Sus scrofa: one gene and its partners. The protein of the gene in region 1 purifies or fractionates together with the protein of each later gene. This does not show direct contact. Links are inferred from orthologs where the notes say so. Each region holds a gene or a part of one and is shown on either strand. Other genes may lie near its edges. The genes, in order: USP4, EDC3 and RBBP8.

Region 1 (7,316 bases):
CGTGAGCTATGGTATAGGTTGCAGATGCAGCTCGGATCCTGAGGCAACTCCGATTCAACTGAGAAATTTTATATGCCTGGGAAACTCCATATGCCAGAGGTATGGCCCTAAAAAGCAAAAAATGCCCTGACTGTGGACCAAGGCAACAGATCACCTTTGTACTCCTCTTACAAGAAAGTCTAAGAGTTCCCGTCATGGCTCAGTGGAAATGAATCTGACTAGCATCCATGAGGACACAGGTTCGATCCCTGGCTTCACTCAGTGGGTTAAGGTTCCAGTGTTGCCATGACCTGTGGTGTAGGTCAAAGACACAGCTAAGATCCTGTGCTGCTGTGGCTGTAGTAGAGGCCAGTGGCTACAGCTCCAATTTGCCCCCTAGCCTGGGAACCTCTATATGCCAAGGGATCGGCCATAAAAAGACAAAAGAAAAAAGTCAAGTCTAAAACCAGGCAGAAAAAAGCCTAGGAAAAGCCAACTGTCATCTCTTTGCATCTATAGGTGAAAGGTAGGTGAAAGCCAAGCTCAAATGTGTCACATATCACTTTTCAGTCACTTCTTCCACTGGAAACTGACTGTGATCATAACTCTACTGACCTTCCATCTCCCCTTACACTTAACTTCCCCTGACAAAAACAGCCATCACAGGAATGCTTGGTGAATGTTGACAGGTACAATTTGTTCCACTGCAAAGGTAACACAGAAAATTCTGGTTCCCAAATTTCAGATTCCAGATGTAATTTCAAAATGATAACCTATTTCTTTCCATTCAATAAACTAAGCTAAAATCTGAAATCAGTAGCAGAATTAATTTGAAAAAGAGAGACAGGCAGAAATTTAAAATACAAGGGGCAGGAGTTCCCATTGTGGCTCAGCAGAAACAAATCTGACTGTTAACCATGATGACTCAGATTCGTTACCTGGCCTCGATCAGTGGGTTAAGGATCCGGTGTTGCCATGAGCTGTGGTGTAGGTTGCAGACACAACTCAGATCTGGCATGGCTGTGGCATAGGCCAGCAGCTACAGCTCTGATTTGACCCCTACCCTGGGAACTTCCATTAGCCATGGGTGCAGCCCTAAAAAAAAAAAAAAAAAAAATGCAAGGAGCATGCCCCAGGCTCTTGGTAACAGCAGTTAATTTAGGCAAAAAGCAGCTTAACTTCCCCCTGAGGGTCTACAAAGATTTTTGGTATAGGCACAAGTCAAGGACACTTGTTTCTATGCCTTTACTGTAAGAAAATCAGGTTCATAATGCCCAGGTTACAGAGAAACATGACCTCAGGCCACTACCCAGGTGGACATTTCAGTTAGAAAAACAACAAAATACCGCACCTGAAAAGAGTCCAGAGTTATCTATGGGGCCAGGAAACAGATTGTGTTCACCCACATTGTACATATCCCAGCTGTCGAAGCCCACATACTTCTTCCACTGCTTGAACCACCGGCTGTCAATAAGATACCTAGAGACAGACAAAAATTTACTGTACCAGAATAGCTGAGGTTGTAAGTTTCTGCAGCTGCTCCCTTAATTTTTTGTTCATGGTCTTTCCACTTGGGGAACAAGTAATTTCCATAAAAAACACACTCTCAGAGTTCCCGTTGTGGCTCAATGTAAACAAACCTGACTAACACCCATGAAGACACAGTTCGGTCCCTGGTCTCACTCAGTGGCTTAAGGATCTTATACTGCTGTGAGCTGGGGTGTAGACTGCACATGTGGCTCAGATCTAGCATTGCTATGGCTGAGACATAGGCCAGCAGCTGTAGCTCCGATTCAACCCTCAGCCTGGGAACTTTCATATGCTGCCAGTGTAGCCCAAAAAAGCAAAAACAAACAAACAAAAACACACACTCTCGGGAGTTCCCTTTGTGGCTTAGCAGGTTATGAACTAATATCCATAAGGACATGGGTTCAATACCCAGCATTGCTCAGTGGGTTAAGGATCAGGCATTGCTGTGAGCTGCAGTGTTGGTCGCAGATGTGACTCAGATCACACACTATTGTGGCTGTGGTATAGGCCGGCAGCTTCACCTCCAATTTGACCCTTAGCCTGGGTATTTCCATATGCCACAGGTGTGGCCCTAAAAAAAAAAAATTAAAGTAATCCTTTCCAGGAAATCCCTGTGGCCTAGGGGTTAAGGATCCAGCGTTGTCAATGCTACAGTTAAGGTCACTGTAGTGGCATACATTCGATCCTTGGCCTGGGAACTTGTTCATGCTGTGATGCAGCCAAAAAACAAAGAAAAAAAAATTCTGCTATGGGGAAAACCTTTTTTGCTAATGACCATCTCAACAATTCCATGATAGTTTGGTTATAATGCTTTGCTTGACAAGAACAGCACTAAACAAATTTTCTTTTTAAAAATGAGATAATGGAGTTTCCGTCATGGCTCAGTGGTTAACGAATCCAACTAGGAACCATGAGGTTGTGGGTTTGATCCCTGGCCTCACTCATCAGGTTAAGCATCCGGCGTTGCTGTGGCTGTGGCGTAGGCCAGCAGCTATAGCTCCGATTAGACCCCTAGCCTGGGAACCTCCACATGCCAAGGGTGCGGCCCTAGAAAAGCCAAAAAAAAAAAGAGATAATAACATCACACACTTCAGTTTTCCTTTGAGGACCAAAGTAGCAAAAAATGTGTGTCTGTATTTGTGTACAAATGTGTACACATATACAGGTATACAAACACACATATGCATCATACAATATTGTCTTGGTATGTTTATCTTCTCGATAACCATTACGTTGATCTGGCTATATTTTAATTTTTTTTTTTTCTTTTTAGGGCCGTACCTTAGGCATACAGAAATTCCCAGGCTAGAGGTCGAATTGGAGTTACAGCTGCCAGCCAGCCTACACCACAGCCACAGCAATTCAGGATCCAAGCCACATCTGCAACCTACACCACATCTCACGGCAACACCAGATCCTTAATCCACTGAGCAAGGCCAGGGATCAAACCCACATCCGCATGGATCCAAGTCAGGTTCATTAACTGCTGAGCCACAAAGGGAATATGATCTGGTTTTACTTTAAAAGTATCACTATGCTGTTCTACAATTAAGACAAAAGGAGGGGGAAACCTCTGTTGGGGAACAAAGTACAACAATTATATTGGGAAGTCCTTCAAATTTTATAACCAACAAACCTCAGAGGAGATCAGGTAGCTTCTCCTAAAGGCCACAAGGATCCATAAATATATTCAAATATCTAAACGCTCTTTTCTCTCCAAACCTCTTGAACATCCTCCAAACACTTTTACTGATTTTAGTCTATCTGAAACTTCCTCTGCTTCTGTTGAGTATTCTTCATATGCCACTTCTGATCAGGATATATCATCCACAAGTACTTTTTGCCCGCCCTGCCTTTCACAGATTGGCTAGCACAAGACACACCTGAATTCCTCCTAATCCCACTGTTTCTCTTCCCTGCTCAAGTCCTCTGTCACACTAAGTTTCTTGGAAGACAACCATAGTTTCTTAAAGAGGGATGCTCAGTCACATTCAGTGCAAAGCCAAGCCCCAGCTTTCAGCTCCCACACAATACAATAGTGTAAGTACTATTCCTTCTCCTAGAAAATTTATTAAGAAACTTCTGACTGAGACCTGCTCTTCTAAATCTTGGACTTTTAATCTTTTTAGCTAGGCTCTAGGTTACCCCTCTCTCTCACTCCGAAATGCGGCTGCTACAATTATCTTTGACATTTGCTACCAAAATAATGAGACTCTCAGACATTTGTTCAGCTTCCGACCTTGATGTCTGTTCCGCAGTTTACAAGTTACAAAGTATCTACTTCTGATCTACGCCTCAACCAACTGACTGCGGGGGGCGCCAAATGTCGCTACTCTGGTTTTAACAGTAAGGAACCAGGGTCTGTGAGATGTGGACGCCTTTGCCCAAAGTCACAGAGCGAATCCTCAAATCTAAAGGGTCTGCTCAACCTGAGGGTCCCTGTGAGCATTCCCCTTCTTTCCATTCTGCAGCCCTAGACCCCGCCGGATCCGCCCCCTGAGCTCTGAAAGGGCCGGGACAACCTTCTGCTCCACCCACGCTTTCCCAGAGAGGATCTAGGGCTCCCTCTCTTCTGTGGCGGGGGGTCAAGTCAAACTCCGGGGTCACTAACATCGCCCCTGCCCGGCCGGAAAAGAGGGTCCCGGCCCAAACAGGAAAAGAGGGGATGGGCCTGAGCGCCCAAGCCCCGCCCTCTGGCCCTGCGCGGCGGAAACGCGGGTTCGGCGCTCACCACTGCGCCCCTCGTTGCAGCGTGGTCCTCATTAAGGCCCCGAGCTCGGATTTCTGGGTCTCTGCATCCGGTCGTTCACGGCAGCCTCCGCCTTCCGCCATCTCGTCAGCGGCCCCGGTCCAGCCGGCCCGGACATCCGCCTCGCGCACAGCGTGCCGTGGGTCGCGAACACGCACTCACGCACGCACGCACGCACGTGCGCGCACCCAAGGACCTTCTCGCGCCGCGGCTTGTACGCTTGCCCTCTTCTGCCTTTCCCCCACCCTTCCAACGCGCCAACCCTGTCCCACCCGTGCGCGGCGGAGTGGGCGGGGGTTGGGGGAGCGGCCGGAAGAGGAAGTGGGCGCGGGGCGGGGGTGGGTAGGAGCTGCCGCTTCTTCCGCCCTGAAGGCCAAGCCACGGGGCGGCGGTCCTGCACCACTTCTCCTTTCAGCTCGGCGATCTTTAGGAGTCGGTCCGCAGACCCCATGACACCCTGGGCACCTCTTCTGGATTTGCAGGGTTATCCTGGTCTTAATAAAGGCAGCTCGGGTGCAAGGAGGCCTAGAACTAGGTCTTCTTTTCACTCCAGCCTTTCGGCTTTCAGCAGAGACCTTACGTTAGTCCTTAGCTGCCCAAACTTGGAATGGATCTCCATTCCCAGAGGCACTACAGGGATTTTAGAGGGTGTTAGGTGCACCAGCGCCTTGGGACCGAGTCTCGACGGTGTGGCCTAGTCGTTAGCAAGCTGGACGCCAGTATAACCTAGCCCAGGCAGTTACACAGGCCCCTGAGGTAGCTACTTGCTTTGTCGGGGAGTCAAGCAGCCGCAGAGGGGCAATAGCAATGGGGGAAGGAGAGGTAAAAGTCTGTTCTCCACATCAGATGCCGGGTTGCTGCTCTGTTTGTTGTTGCAACAAGATAGTGTTTGAACACCATATGTTTCCCACTCAACCCTGCAAACAAAAATCACAGCCCTCTTCCTGGAGGAGGAAGTAAACCCAGAGCAAGGTGGAGGCCAGACAGCTAGCCTATGTGAATCTAGCAGAGAAAATAAGATATACAAGGCCCAGTACCTGCCCTTATTTGATCTATAGGAGGAGAATAACTCTTCCACAAATGACCCCAGAGCCAAGCAGTGTGGGGTAAATGCCACTAACAGGTAGAACCAAAGATTAGACCCTGAACTGTGAAAGGGCGCCTTTGACTTGAGTAGCATTTGAGCGTGATCTTGAAAGCATAGAAATGATAGTGCATGTTAAAGGAGGAATAACTAGAAGGGTCAAAGAAAATTTCTGGAACTAGCAGGGTGGACGGAATCAAAGAATGAGGATTAGTCCAATTGAGCTGGGCACAGATTACTGAAAGGGCTTGGGATCTGAAGCTCAAAGGGAGGCCAGAGGGGCCACATGTCTTGCCTTAAACAGCCCACAGATATTGTGGGAAGTTTCAGAGCATAGAGAAATGGTTGAGGGTGCTTTATACCCACAGTGCTACTAGGAACCTTGGGAAAGATGGCTGTGAGGGAGGAGAGGAGAAACAGATGAACTGTGTTCATTTTTAGGGGTAGAAGAGATAGAGGTGGCCTGGTGAAGGTGTGGTAAGTCATTTGAACAGATTTACTATTTTTATGTTCGGCTTTTGGCTAATTGAAGTTACTTTGCACTCCTGGGACATCCACTATGCACCGTTTAGTCGAAGAGATCTCTTCACAGTGGGTAGGTAGCAGGGAAAAGTAAATTTGGAGTTAAAACTGCCTTGAGGGAGTTCCCATTGTGGCACAGCAGAAAGGAATCCCTCTAGTAACCATGAGAATGGGGGTTCCATCCCTGGCCTCCCTCAGTGGGTCAGGAATCAGGTATTGCTGTGACCGGTAGTGTAGATCGCAGCTGCAGCTGGGATCTGGCATTGCTGTGGCTGGGCATAGGCCAGCAGATAAAGCTCCAATTTGACTGATAGCCTGGGAACTTCCATATGCTGCAGGTTCGGCCCCAAAAAAGACAAAAACAAACAAACAAAAAAAAACCACCAAAAAAACCCTGCCTTGAATAACCACATAGCAGTTAATCCTCTGCAGATAGAAGTTACATGACAGTTCTACCTCTGGGAAGCCAATCCTGATACCCCAAGAAATGACGTTCTATGAAAGTTCTTTGAAATTGTTTAAAATTGTGTCAAACAAGAAACATTACCTTTAGCCCTATTTATGGAAAAAGAAAGTTGGGTTACTGACAGTACTTCAGAAACTACATTAGAATGTCTGCTTCCCTCTTCTTTTTTTTTAGCAGTTTCTCCTGTACCATTTATGGCCTGGGTCAGAGTCTTATGGAAATAGGACAAGTCATCAGCACCACTAGAAAGGGGGACAAAACCTAAATATAAAAATAAAAACTTTGGAAGATCATTTTAAGCCTGTGTCTCTTCAGAGCTATTAAATAGCTGTAAAACTAATACACTAATTATGGGTATTTCATAAAGATTTGTATTAAAATTATTAAGTGCCAATAGTTAAAATGCAAGGAATAAAGTGAAAATTCATTATCAAAAGATCACCATTATTTCCAAAGTTTAAAAACTTTCTTAGTCTGATTAAATGTTAAAAACTGAGAGTTCCTCTGTGACTAAGGGAGTTAAGGATCTGGCATTGTCACTGATTCGGCTTGGGTCACTGTTATGGTGTGCATTCAGACCCTGGCCCAGGAATTTCCACATGCGATGGATGCAGCCAAAAAAAAAAAAAAAACAGCAGAGAACTAGAAACAATAAACATTTGCCTATGTGGTCCTCCTATTGTAGGGGTAATCTGCAGATTTGGAAGGAAAGGACTTGTGTGATTCAACTCAGGAGACACTCTGACCTCAGGACTGTGTTCTCTTTTGGGCCATTTACCCTAATGGGGCACTCTCTTGGCCCCATGATCAAACCACAGAGCTGAACAACCCACTCGTTGCCAAGGGAGCTGGGGCCACAATAACAGGAAGGAAAGCAGGAAGAGAGCTGGAGGGAACAGGCTTGGCTGATTTGTCACATACTGCTCAATCTTAGACTGTGATGATCTAATTGGGGGTTTGTAATGTCTAGGTATGTGAACTTTAAG
Region 2 (6,689 bases), on another chromosome or scaffold:
ATGAGCTATTAAGTCACAAAAAGACATGGATGAATCAAATACATATTGTAAAATAAAGAATCCTGAAAAGACTACATATATGTGATATTCTGGAAAAGACAAAACTACAGAGATAGATGATAAAAAGATCAGTAGTTGCTTGGTGGGGAGTGGGGAAGCAATCATGGAGGGAAAATGGAAAAGACTGAATAGGTTAAACACAGGGATTCTCCACAATACTGTATTGATAGATATAAAATAACATGTATTTGTCAAAGCCTTCAGAACTTTAGAGCACAAAGAGGGAGCCTAATGTACGTAAATTAAAAAAAAAAAAAATCATTGAGGAGGTTGGAGGAGCCCAGGATGGAGTGCAGAATGCAAGCAAATGATCTGTTACAAATATATGAGACTAGTCAATAAAGAGGATGGGGGCATGGGTTAGAGTTAGCAATTCTGATACTGTATACTGGAATTAAATAATTTAAGTCAATGATGAAAGACAGTATGGATTTCTTGCTGTTGGGAGTAAGAGGTTACAGATGAGAAAAGGAAGCTAGAATGAATCATGTGGTGATGGATTAGACTTGGATACATCAACATGAATTCACATTTAGCTTAATATAGTAGTGAAGGTTATATATATATATATGTATTTATTTACAGGAGTTCCCGTTGTGACTCAAGGGCTTAAGAACCCAACTAGTATCCATGAGGAGGTGGGTTTGATCCCTGGCCTTGCTCAGTAGGTTAAGTATGTGGTGTCACCATGAGCTGTGGTGTAGGTTGCAGACATAGCTCAGATCTAGTGTTTCTGCGGCTACAGCTCTGATTTGACCTCTAGCCAGGGAACTTCCATATGAGGCAGGCATGGCCCCCCCCCGCAAAAAAAAAAACAAAATGTATTTACAGATATGTGTATATACACTGGTTTAAGTACACACATATATTTTCTTGCTCTGTCAGCTGAAAGGGTGACACCCAGCAGCAATAAGCACATCTACTGCCTAGATTGTGGTAATACCATTCTCTAATAAAATGAAACAAGGTCCCTAGGGCTGGGGCAGAAAACACAGATAAACCTAGAGCATCTTGCAGTGCCTGAAAGGGAGGAAGTTCCAGGAGGCAGGGAATGTATAATGGGGGCATGCCAAAGGGACACAGTAGCCAACTGAAGGAGCACCCAGTGGCCAAAGCTGAAACAATATGAGCAGCAAAATAAAGTGGAAATGAATTATAACCCAAAGGATAAAATAAATACTTATAAGTCCATACTCATAAAGATAAATGACTGAATAAGTAAATGAGGGAGAAGAAACAAATCTCTGGAACAGAAAAATCCCAAATAATTTATGTAGATACTCTGCATGACTCTCGACTTCTTAGGGGTGGGCTGCAGAATGACTTCAGAGGACAAATCTGACATATACTACCTCAGCCAGGCACTTGAGGTCAACATCAAAGTCAGAAACAAGGGAGTTCCCATTGTGGCTCAGTGGGTTAAGGATTGATGTTGTCTCTATGAGGATTCAGGTTCAATCCCTGGCCTTGCTCAGTGGGCTGAGGATCCAGTGTAGCTGCAAGCAGCAGTGTACGTCGCAGATGGATCTGGTGTTGCCATGGCTGTGGTGTAGGCCTTAGCTGCAGCTCTGATTCATCCCCTAGCCCAGGAACTCCCATGCACTGCAGATGCAGCAGTAGAAATAAGTAAAAAAGTCAGAAACCATGTTGTTAGTATATACTCTTGATATATGATGAAAATGACACTTTATCTCTGTGATCTTCCTTTCCCAATCACATGACCCCGGTCTAATAATAAGAAAAACATCAGGATTTCCCATCATGGCTCGGTGGTTCAAAAATCTGAGTAGCATCCATGAGGACACAGGTTTGATCCCTGGCCTCGCTCAGTGGGTTAAGAATCCAGCAATGCTGTGAGCTGTGCTGCAGGTGGCAGATGTGGCTCGGATCTGGCACTGCTGTGGTTGTGGTGTAAGCTCTGATTCAACGCCTAGCCTGGGAACTTCCATATGCCACTGATGCAGCCCTAAAACAAACAAACAAAAAAACCAAATACCAATTGAGGCATAGTCTACAAAAATATCTGACGAGTACTGTCCTGGTCATCACAAAACAATGAAAGTCTGAGAAACCGTCAAAGTCAAGAGAAAAGGTGACTCCTACATGTAACATGGTATGCTGGATGAGAGCCTGTAACAAGGACACTGGGTAATAAAAACTAAAGCAATCTGAATAAAATATAGATTTTGGTTAATGTCTCATCACTGTTTCATTAACTGTAACGAATATGTCATAAAAATGTAAGATGTTAATAATAGGCAGAAAATATGCAGAAAAAAATTTACAAATTGCTAACAGGCACTGTCTCCAAGTACAGTACAATTATAAATTGCTTGAATATTTGAACTTTTAATAAACAAGTCAATTTTTTGATAAAGAAAAAAGTTTTTTTTTTTTTAAGAGAATAAAGCAAAGTAGAAAATGTTAAAGTCTAAACGGAAAAAGTCATTTTCTATCTAAGCATTTTACAATTTTTCAAAGGACACAGAAGAACTAACAATTCAACTTCAGGTTCAGGTCTTCATTTGTCAATTCATATAGTTATTTAAGATGTACTGAGGCAAAGTGCCTCAAAATACATTTAAAAAAAAATTTCAGGGAGTTCCCGTTGTGGCGCAGTGGTTAACGAATCCGACTAGGAACCATGAGGTTGCGGGTTCGGTCCCTGCCCTTGCTCAGTGGGTTAACGATCCGGCGTTGCCGTGAGCTGTGGTGTAGGTCACAGACGCGGCTCGGATCCCGTGTTGCTGTGGCTCTGGCGTAGGCCGGTGGCTACAGCTCCAATTGGACCCCTAGCCTGGGAACCTCCATATGCCGCAGGAGCGGCCCAAGAAATAGCAAAAAGACAAAAAAAAAAAAAAAAAAAAAATCAAAATGTCAGTAGCTTATTCACAGAATCAGGCATTTTGAAAACTTAAAAATGTTGGGTCCTGAAAGGCCACACAGAGTCTAGTGGATCTGTTATAATTCACTACTGTAACATTACTCTAGTAAATATGTTAAAGAGCATACCAGATTCTAGTGAATTAACTATGGTCTATAACGAGTAAATGGCATTCAACAATTCATTAGTACCAAACAAAACTGGGAACAAATACACACACCAGTGCATGCTCTCCTTGATGTGCTAGCAGGGAGTGAATACAGCAAATCTAAAATTGTCAGTATGTCAGATATTTTAAGATCACAGAGATGTCTAGGCCCATCGCTTCCTCTCTTCTAAGGATGGGAATTAAAATACAAGAAGAAAACTTATTTGAGAATCCCCTAGAACAGCTTAAGTGTAAGTTCAACCCAGGTATCACTACTACCACCAGTTAGCAGATTAAAAACAACATCGCTTTTGTCTGTGTGAACTCAAGACAGATGAATGACTTTTTTTGGAAGGAAGGGAAGTGGTGAGAGAGGGCGAGGAGCTGGTGTGAGTCTCTAACAGCTTATTTCCTTTCCCTTATTATCTTGAGGAAATAGTTCCAGAATGAAAGAACCATGCTATATTTTTGTGAAGCTCTGCCAGCATCTTTTTTTATTAGGGTAATAAAGGATTTATTTAAAGACTAGCAATGAATAAGAGCTTATAGACATGAAACATCAGGTAAAAAAGAAATATTAACTCAATCCAACTTACAAGAGTTGTGCCGACGCCGGAAGCTTTTGGACTGACTCAAGGACTCCATGTGCCTATCCACATAGCTCTTTGAGCACTGCTGCTGCTGGGGAGAAACGGCAACATCTTGGCTCTTGACATCTGTCCTCTTAGGGATGTTCTGAGGGGCACTGCTGGAAGAGGCTGGCTTTTTAACCAACTTGCCCATGCCATTCTGACCAATACCTACTTGGCACCCAACACCAGAGGGGCCTAATTCTGCCTGATGAAGGTCTCCAAAATGTTGGTTTTCTCCAGGACCTGGTATCTCCAGAATTTTTAGTTCCGTAATGTCACCTGCCCTGAAGTACACAAAAGAGCCCAAGTCAAAACTATAATAGTGATAACAGTGATGAAAATGGGATCAAAAAGAACCAGTTATACCATAGCAGGGCAGCATTTCAATGAGTCATCAAAGGCAAAAACTAGAAAAGGTGGTAGAGTACTTAAAGATAAGGCTCGGCCACCAACATTCAACTGTCACAGCACTGGCCTTTAAAGAGACCTACTGTTAACCACACAACTATTATTAACATCTTAGATTTCTAGAATGCTTAATTAATGGCTTTTTTTCATTCATTCACTCATCTACTCATTCAATAGGTATATACAGAGTACTCACAATGTGCTAAGTTCTGTATTACGAGTGGAGCATACAGAGATGAAAAGCAATACATGCCCACAAGGAATTCACAGTCTAGTCAGCAGAAAATTCAGGTAGGTAATCACAAGTGTTAAAAACCATGACAAAAGGTGTGCACTGGGGACCAATGCACCCCAAAGCAAAATATATGTTAGTTTGGCAGAGATGGATCAAACACTTAAGCTAAGTCTGGCTGGGGAGGAAAACAAAGAGTTGGCAAAACAGTCTGGTAGGGAGAAGGGCACCTCAGGCCAAGGCTCAGAGATGGAGAAAACGTGGGCCATCTGGAGAACTTCAAATGTGACAGGGTTACTAAAGGGAAGAAAGCTTGTGCAGGGCCATTAGGAGGTCAGGCTGTGGAGGAAATTAGGGACCAGATCATAATCACAATGGATTTTCCTGATGGCTACAGGGAAGGTGGAGAAATTAGAGGCAGGGGCACTGGTTAGGAGATAAAGAACATGGGGATGAACAGGGCAAGTGACAATGCAAAGGAAGTGGGAAGGATGGAACCAAGAAATACCAGGAATCCACAGAATTTGGTGACTAACTAAACATGAGGATCAAGAGAAAGACTTTATTATGATTCCTAAATTTCTAACTTGGGTGAAAGGTGTCATCAGTCACTAATTAAGGATAGAACTTTGGAGGAAGAAATGTGCAGGTAACATAGTCAGCTCAGCTTCGAAAATTTTAAATTTAAGATATCTGTAGGATAGCCACTTGGAGATGACCAGTAGACAATTAAAGTGTATATAACACAGATAATGGGTCTAATAAAAATCTGGGGTCTCATTAATGTGTAAGAAGGTATACAAGAGATTGTCTAAGGAGAATACAGACCAGGAAAAGAATCAAAGATGGAACTCCGACTAAATCCATCTTAAAAAGTGAGTAGAAGAGGAGTTCCTGTGGTGGCGCAGCAGAAACGAATGTGACTAGGAACCATGAGGTTGTGGTTCAATCCCTGGCCTCCCTCAGTGGGTTAAGGATCCAGCGCTGCCCTGAGCTGTGGTGTAAGTTGCAGACGCAACTAAGATCCTGCATTGCTGTGGCTGTGGTGTGGGCTGGCAGCTGTAGCTCCGAGTGGACCCCTAGCCTGGGAACCTCCATGTGCCGCAGGTGTGGCTCTAAAAAGCCAAAAAAAAAAAAAAAAAAAAAAAAAGTGAGTAGAAGAAAAGGAACCTGTGGGGCTGGGGAGAAAAAGTGTATAAAGGAATGGAGGAATACTTGGGAAGAAAACCCAAAGGGGTAACAAAGAAACTAAAAGAAGAGGTCACTCCAACGGTTAGGGAACATCTGAATAAGATTAGATTAGAACTAAGACACTGCCACTGAATCTGGCAATTAGGTCATTTTTAATCTCAGCAAAAGCTAGCTCAGGAGTTCCCACTGTGGCACAATGGGATCAGCAACACAGGTTCGATCCCCAGCCTGCAGTTTGATCTGATCCCCAGCCTGGGAACTCCATATGCCATGGGGCGGCCAAAAGAAAAACAAAACAAATTAACAAAAGCAGCTAGTTCAGCAAGATGGTAAAGACAGAAAAAGATAATGGTGGGGTAGAAAGAGGCTAGACTAAGACACAAAGGGAGTAAAAGGAGACTATATTCGACCCTTGAATATGGGTTTGAACTGTGTAGGTCCACTTAAACGTGGATTTTTTTTTTCAACAAAATACATATTACAGTACCACATGATCCACAGATACAGAACCATGGATACTGAGAGTTACACCAAGATTTTGGATGGTGTAGGTGGTTGGCCTTCTAACCTCCTCACTGTTCAAGGGCCAACTGTATTCTACTCTGAAAAGAACTGTGAGTCTAAAGAGAAGGAAACCGACAGGGCAATACCTAGGGCAAATGTAAGGTGTGTGGAAGGGTAGTGTTTATACTATGGGGGAGGCCTGAGAATGTTAGAAAGAGAAGAGAAAAGAGCCAGTATTAAGGTTGAAAGTGAAGACACAAAAGAAAAGGAGCAGGGTCTCAAAGGAGATAAGAAAGCATAGCTCATAAAGCATATGTGATAAGGTTGGCCCTGAACACAAAGGGCATTCCTTCCATGGAGACTTCAGAGGAGATAAGAAATAAGAATTGATATGCCTACAGAAAAGGTTATGTGTGGGTGTTACGTAGGAAGTCAAGGAAGCTCTAGCTCAAGACTTTTTTTTTTTTTAAACATAAGAAAGGGAGGTTATCTGCCAAATTTATAAAGGAGGGATGTGAAGACATCTAAGCTTGAGATCTTTGGCAAATTTATTCCTGTAGCTAAGGACTTTAGCTATTGGCTACAGTGTGTTCTCTGGAGAGAAATTATAACACACACCTGCAAAGAAAG
Region 3 (7,198 bases), on another chromosome or scaffold:
CTTCAAGGGAGTAGACTTAAGATAGAACTTTGAAATAAAAATTGCCATGTAAATTTTATTTTCACTTTGTCAGTAATACATAATTTCTAAGATAATGTTTTCTGATTACTTTTAAGGCTATGTCTTTAACACAATGAGCTATACTGTTCTCTATTTCCTAGTTAGTTTTTGATGCATAGCAAGTTTGGTTTTTAGTCTTATGTTATCCAAATTAGCTATTTCTATAGAACCATTTAAAAAATATATTTTAGGGAGTTCCTGTCGTGCCCCAGTGGAAACAAATCCGTCTAGTATCCATGAAGATGTGGGTTTGATCCCTGGCCCCATTCAGTGGGTTAAAGATCCAGCATTGCCATGAGCTGTGGTGTAGGTCGCAGATGCAGCTTGGATCCTACGTTGCTGTGGCTGAGGTATAGGCCAGCAGCTAACGCTCCAATTTGACCCCTAGCCTGGGAACTTCCATATGCTGCGAGTGGGGCCCTAAAAAGCAAAAAACAAACACAAAAAAACTTGTTATATATTATATTAAAGAGGTGTAAAGAATATTGATGTGCTATACCTACTATGTTCTAGAGACTGCTAGGTATTTTGTATACAATATCTTGTTTGATCCTTCCAAGAACTCTTAGAGAATGGTAATAGTTTTCTTAATTTACAGATGGAGAAAAGAGAACTCAGGGTTAAATAATTCCCAAGGGTAAACTAGTTTGCAGCAAAATCAGTATTCAAACCTATCTCAGTTTGTCTCAAAAATCCATACATTTTTCAATATACTACCTTTTCTCTCTCTTTTTTTTTTTTATTTTCCCACTGTACAGCAAGGGGGTCAGGTTATCCTTACATGTATACATTACAATTACAGTTTTTCCCCCACCCTTTCTTCTGTTGCAACATGAGTATCTAGACATAGTTCTCAATGTACCTTTTCTCTTGATTGTAAAGATGAGAAACAAATGGAGGTAATTATTTTCTAGAGTTCACTTGGAATGAACTAAATTTACCAAATTTAGAAGCATCCCTCAGGTAAGAGTTTATCTGTGAAAAGATAAGGGGTTTAGGAAAATTAACTTTTAGCTTAAGAATCAGAATTGAAAATTTTGAGCCTTTGGTTTTCAAGCTTTCTGTGGTCCTATTTCCTTGAAATTCCTCAAGTTAAAAACATTTAAAGCATTTTTGAGCACTTGTGTGCAAAGTACTGTATTAAGATCTCACCTTTTAAATAACAGGTATATCTCCCCTAAGATGGATTTTGAATCCTGCAATTCTGGACTTCATAAACTTACTGAAATTTTCCTGTCAGTTCTAACCAAAGTTTAGAAGTACTAATTTCTTAGGTTAAATCCTAAACTATAGCCACATAAAAGTGATTAAAACAATACAAAAGTATATACATACTTATATACATACTAAGAAAATAAACTGTTGAGACAGTTTAAAGCAATAATAAATCAGAAGATAACTTATTTGCCTAGAAATAATCTGAGCAAATTTGAAGGAATGTGTGGTACTCTTAGCAATTTGATACAAAATTTTGTGAGAGCATTAAGAGAAGAAGGTAGCAAAGAGGTGGTCATATCCATTACCAATGGCATCCCCATAAATTCAGCCACTTGATACCAAAAAAGGTTTGGGGGCAGTAATTATATAGATTAAAATATAAAAGCAAATAATTTCTTGGTTAAGCAAATACTCCTTAACATACCTTATATAGCCCAATTTTACCTTTTTACAAGTCCTTTAGTAAACAGAATAAATTGCAAGTAGTATTCAGAAGAGTCTGCATGGAGTAGTGAAAAAAATATTAGTCCGGGCTGGTATTAGGAACCTGGGATGTTCTGGTCTCATCTCTACCCTTAGCTTGTATAGTAGTGAGTTAGCGACATTTGGGGGCTTTTTATTCAACTAAAAAATAAGTTGAATTCATTAGTTATTTGTAAAGAGTCCTTGTAGCCCAAAATGTCATGATTCTAAGTGCTTTTGGTAGGAAATACATGAATATATTCAGGAAGGGAAGAGGTTATGTAGTTGTTAAGAAAACTAGCATGGATGACAAAAAGAGTCATTGTATGAAACTTTGTGGCCAGGAATAAAGACAAAGGAATGCATCCTAAACTAGACTTAGGGAATAAAAAGATTTTTAAATGACTAGATCATTTTTTGACCTGGGCCCTCAGATAATACAGGGCTATGTAAAATACACACACAGGCAATCATAGACTTCTAATTTGATTGATTAATCCATATATTCTTAATTTCAATCAAAACATCACAATGTATCAGTATTTTAAAGGAATTAATTTATGGAAAATACATGAAAGTATTTAATAGGACATTCATATATTTGAAACTGGAAATCCTATTAAGGATAGGTAATAGCTGTAGAATCCCTCTCCAAAATGTAGAATCCCTCTCCAAAATGTAGTTAGACTTGAAATTTTACCCACAAATTTTATATGGATATATACATCTAGTTCCTAAATAGCTTTCCTTAAAACCATAAGCATAAAAAATCCTTAATGAATAAATTGGAATCCCAAATTAAGTTTATATTTAAACAGTATTTTAAGCAAGGTTTAAAAATCTTAAATTACTATATATATTTACTCTAAACAGTAAAAGTGTACTCTGTTGACATATATCTACATTTGGCTTGAAAATTAATTGAAAAGAGAAAAACTCAACCAACTAAAATTTTTTATCTATATTCTCCAAAAATTGTCAGAATACAGTTTATGCTGAATCAGCACATTACTTTTGCAGATTCAATATTACATAGCTTTTTAGAAATTTAGCTGATTATCAGAAGTTTTATGCAGAATTGCCTTGGGGTAGGACTAAACAGCATGCAAAAGGTTTCCCTGCAAAAAATGAAATCACATCTGAACATTCATCCTCACTTTAAAAAAATTCTTTATTAGCATTCTAAGGAAACATATAGCCTTTAAGTTTGAACATAATGACAAAGTGAGGGCTCTATAAGGACTATGAAAAGGATGCCTTAGTATTGCTCAGTTCAAGGAAAGTCATGTGATGGCCTGGAGATAGTCCTTGAAAATATTTAGTATAAATCTGTTTTAAAAAGTTATTTTAATTTCCAGATAAATTTCATATGTCAGCTGATACGTTAAGTTGAATGCCCGGAGGATGTGTGCACTCAATTCAATCTAATATTAATAACTAAGGGGGTAATTTGGTATGCCAAAACAAATCTAAAGGGCTTGATAATTTTCATTTTAAATGAAACAGGTTACTAAAATAAATTATTTGGATCAATGAAAGAGAGAGAGAAAAGAATTATTTTAAAATATAAATTAAAGGAAGACCCAAATATTCTTTAACCTAAAAAGGTTTTCAGACCTAATAGGCATGACAAAACCTGTCTTCATTCCTTTCTATTCAGCTCAGCAAGTGCTTTTGAGCTCCAATAGTTAATCAGTTACCAGATTCCACAATCTTTGTTTTTCACACTCCTCATTTCTTGCTGTGAATTGTTCTTCTAAAGTACTTAACGATCACCAGGCAGGCCAGCACTATTTTTTATGCCTTAAAAAGGCCATTATTATTTTATCCACAATTAGATTTGCCATATAAAACATTACCATATAGCAACAGCCTGTAAAATATAATAGTATGTTATCAAAGAAGTAGATGGCTTAAGATGAATCATTATATTAATAGGTAAAATATATTTAGCAAAATTATTCAACCCACTTTTCTTAATGACTACAGCCATGCCCATTTTACAAAGACTTATAGCAGAAGTGTATTATATACCAAATAACCTTTATCTAAACAAATCAATGAACATATGTACAAATATTATAAGACAGTATCTAACCAGCTTTATATAAAAGATAGAATGCAGGTACTACCGTGTTAAAAATAGATTATCTTAAACATCATTTCTTAATTAACCTTCTGAAAGTGCTTAGAAAATTGAGAAAGATAAAAAAATACATTAACTTACCCTTCAATTTACTTAGAAAACTTCTGCTCTTGGTCAAAAGCAGCAGGTGTTTCACTGCTGACTTTCCCTACAGCTATGAACGTACACAGTAAATCAGTGGGAGACACCTCTCTGGACCACGCTAGATTGCTAGACACCACTGCTGTGTGGAAGAGTTCTGCTGCATCTAAGCTATATAAGGTTTGCAATGGATAACCTAATATGCCTTTCATTTAACTGGCTGGGCAGGTTTCTACCGTCTGTGGAACATGGAATCAAACCAGAATATGTTGGCACAGCAGGCCAGTCAGACCGGTTCTTCTGTAGATCCAGAACCCGTCCAACCAGTCTGCATCAAAGGCTAGCCCAACAAGCTGCAGCGGCTCAGCTCTGCTAAGCTTGTACCAGGTAAGTTATCCCCACCTCCCGTCAACTCCCAACAAACTGCTCAGAATGTTGTAGCCTCCAGCAAAATAATTCAGAGTTCCAGTGGGAGGGGTAGATCTGTGTCAGGTACAGCAAGAGTCCATTGTTATAAACCTCTCATTGTAGATAACTTGAGTGTCTACCATCCTCAGGGGCAGGTAATCCATTTTTAAATGTACTCCAGGGCTTTGCAGACTAAAGCCTCTAGAAGATTACAATGAAGAAGAATCCATAATACCTTACCTTTCCACTAGTCCACTTGGTCTTGCTCAGCTTTGAAGTGGCAGGGAGGATGTCGATATTCCCCACAAGGGCAGTAGCCCTGAGAGTTTGAAGGAACCCTTTCTAGAGGGAGGAAAACAAGATGTGGGTTGACCAGACTTTTGCCTGGGTGTGTTATCTTCCTTGTACTCAAATGATCTTCATACCATTCCAGTCTAAAATTGGAAAAACGCCTATTTCTACATACTAGGACAACCTGGAGAGGTTTTACTTTGGATATTCATCAGTTGAACACAAATTCTTGAAAATGACTGTGTGCCACAAACTGTGCTAGGTACAGGATTATAATGGTGAAAAAAGGAAAATTTAGTAAGAGATGGGATCAGTGTCCAAGTTGCCACCTAAGTGTGTCTTCTAATCTTTTGGATGGAGGAAGTGAGCAACACAAGATCACATTTTGACAGAAATTTATTTGTATTAAGGGAGATCATGTGAGATTTTTTTCTTACTCTCATGATATTTATGCATTTAAAAACAGTCTTTCCTATCTACTGATGGAGATTCTCCAGCTTTCCTGTTAAATATAATCTGAAGTGTTGATTAAGAACACAGATTATTGGACCTCACCTCCTGAGATACTGATTCAGTAGGTCTGGGATGTTACCCCAATACTTCAGGTGATCCTGCTGTAGTTGTTACAGGGACCTAGGCTCAGCCTCCATGTTTAGCTTCTTTTCTATTTTGGTACCTAATTAAGTAAACTATATATTAATTTCAAGATGCCATATTTATCTTTGTGTCTTCAGTGTCTAGCGCAGAAACTTAGAAAGTATTTAATAAATGCTCACTGAGTAAATATCTACTCAGGGGCAACACTTGCTAGATCCCAGGGTAATCACAACTGATAACTGTTATATGAATTGAACTGCATGAGTACTATAATTAGAATAACTGGAGTTTCCATTGTGGCTCAGTGGGTTAGGAACCCAACACAGTATCCGTGAGGATGCAGGTTTGATTCCTGACCTCGCTCAGTAGGTTAAGGATCCAGTGTTGCCACAAGTTGCTATGTGGTCACAGATGAGGCTTGGATCCGTTGTTGCTGTGGCTGTGTCATAGGCTGGCAGCTGCAGCTCCCATGTGACCCCCTAGCCTGGGAACTTCCATATGCTGCCGGTGCAGTCCTGAGAGAGAGAGAGAGAGAGAGAGAGAGAGAGAGAGAGAGAGAGAGAGAGAAAGAGAGAATAACTGAGGTAGGAGCACAGAAAAGAGAGCAAGTATGACTGAGTATGGGAAAGACCTCACAAAGGAGATTGGTTTAGAAACTTTCCTCTTTAACTATGACCAAAGATTGCTATATGCAGGATAACAAAATGTTGAGGGAACAAGAAAAAGAATGCCTTTGATGTAGTGACAAAAGTTTTAGGTACCCAAGGACACCATGACCTCAAAACTTAGTAAGAAGGTTATTTTCTATAGCAGGGATCAGCAGAATTTTTTGTAAAGGATCAGAGAGTAAGTATTTTAGTGTTTATGGGCCAAATTGTCTCTGTTTTAGCTATTCCTCTCTAACATTGTAGCACAAAAGCAGATGTAAACAATATTCGACAAATGGACATGGCTGTGTTCCAATAAAATTTTATTAACAAGTGACAAGCTGGATTTGACCCATGCTCTAGAGTGTACTTTGTGGAAATTAGCAAGATTGCATAATTGCTTAGGAATATAGGCTTGGAAGTCAGAAAGACTTGGGTTCCATCCCAATTCTGTTCCATATTAGCTTTGTCACCTGAATCAGGCATCTGTTTTATTTACAAGATGTGAATGAAAGTAGTAGTACATAACCCCTAGGGTAATTATAAAATTCAAATAATAAAATTCACATGAGGCTTTATCCAAAAATCTAGTACACAGTGAGGGCGCCAATAAAATGTCAGCTAAAAATAAAACCAGTTAAACATGGTAGGTGAACATGGGTGATTATTTCTATTAATTCTAAAAGTCTACCAAAATGATAGTAAAGAAAACAGCATGAAGAGAATGAGAGAGGTAGCAGAAAAGAGGTGTCCATAAATTTGGAAGAAGATATGAGGATGAGTGTTGATTGCGTTATTTAACATGCTGAGCAAAGCTGAGGTTGAATAGTAAAGTAATGAGATTGTATTATTTTCCTATGGCTGCTATAACAAATTGTTGGAAGCTTAGTGGCTTAAAAGGACACAAGCTTTTTATCTTATAGTTGTGGAGGTCGGAAGTCCAAAATGGGAATCACTGGGTTGAAGTCAGCAGGATCAACATTCTAAGATACAAAGAGTCAGACAGGTTGAATTCCTTTCTGGACACTCTAGGGGAGAATCTGTTTTCTCATCTTTTCCAGCTTCTAGAGGCTGCCTGTGTTTTTGACTCATGGCACCTTTCCATCTTCAAAGCCGGCAATGGCCAGTGAAGTCTTTCTTACATTACATTATTCTGACATTGACTCTACTGCCTTACCCTTTTGTATTTATATCCAGCTCTATGGTCCAGGATAATCTCCTTGTTTGAAGGTCAGTTGATTACCAACCTTAATTATATCTTCATTCTTAGTTCCGTCTCTACCATGTA

What was found.
Region 2: the proteins of USP4 (region 1) and EDC3 purify together in Homo sapiens (co-immunoprecipitation; 3 studies listed by BioGRID and IntAct, with this or other methods). This does not show direct contact. The link is inferred for Sus scrofa from reciprocal best matches to the Homo sapiens genes USP4 and EDC3.
Region 3: the proteins of USP4 (region 1) and RBBP8 purify together in Homo sapiens (affinity purification with western blotting; 3 studies listed by BioGRID, with this or other methods). This does not show direct contact. The link is inferred for Sus scrofa from reciprocal best matches to the Homo sapiens genes USP4 and RBBP8.

Annotation. Positions count from the first base shown.
Region 1 is NC_010455.5:31,899,879-31,907,194, forward strand, and holds the start of USP4 (ubiquitin carboxyl-terminal hydrolase 4), read right to left. Parts: upstream 4,500-7,316; 5' UTR 4,342-4,499; coding exon 4,241-4,341; intron 1,459-4,240; coding exon 1,331-1,458; intron 1-1,330.
Region 2 is NC_010449.5:58,850,955-58,857,643, reverse strand, and holds part of EDC3 (enhancer of mRNA-decapping protein 3), read right to left. Parts: intron 4,009-6,689; coding exon 3,689-4,008; intron 1-3,688. UniProt on the Homo sapiens protein: Binds single-stranded RNA. Involved in the process of mRNA degradation and in the positive regulation of mRNA decapping. May play a role in spermiogenesis and oogenesis.
Region 3 is NC_010448.4:107,920,920-107,928,117, reverse strand, and holds the start of RBBP8 (DNA endonuclease RBBP8), read right to left. Parts: upstream 4,150-7,198; 5' UTR 3,968-4,149; intron 1-3,967. UniProt on the Homo sapiens protein: Endonuclease that cooperates with the MRE11-RAD50-NBN (MRN) complex in DNA-end resection, the first step of double-strand break (DSB) repair through the homologous recombination (HR) pathway.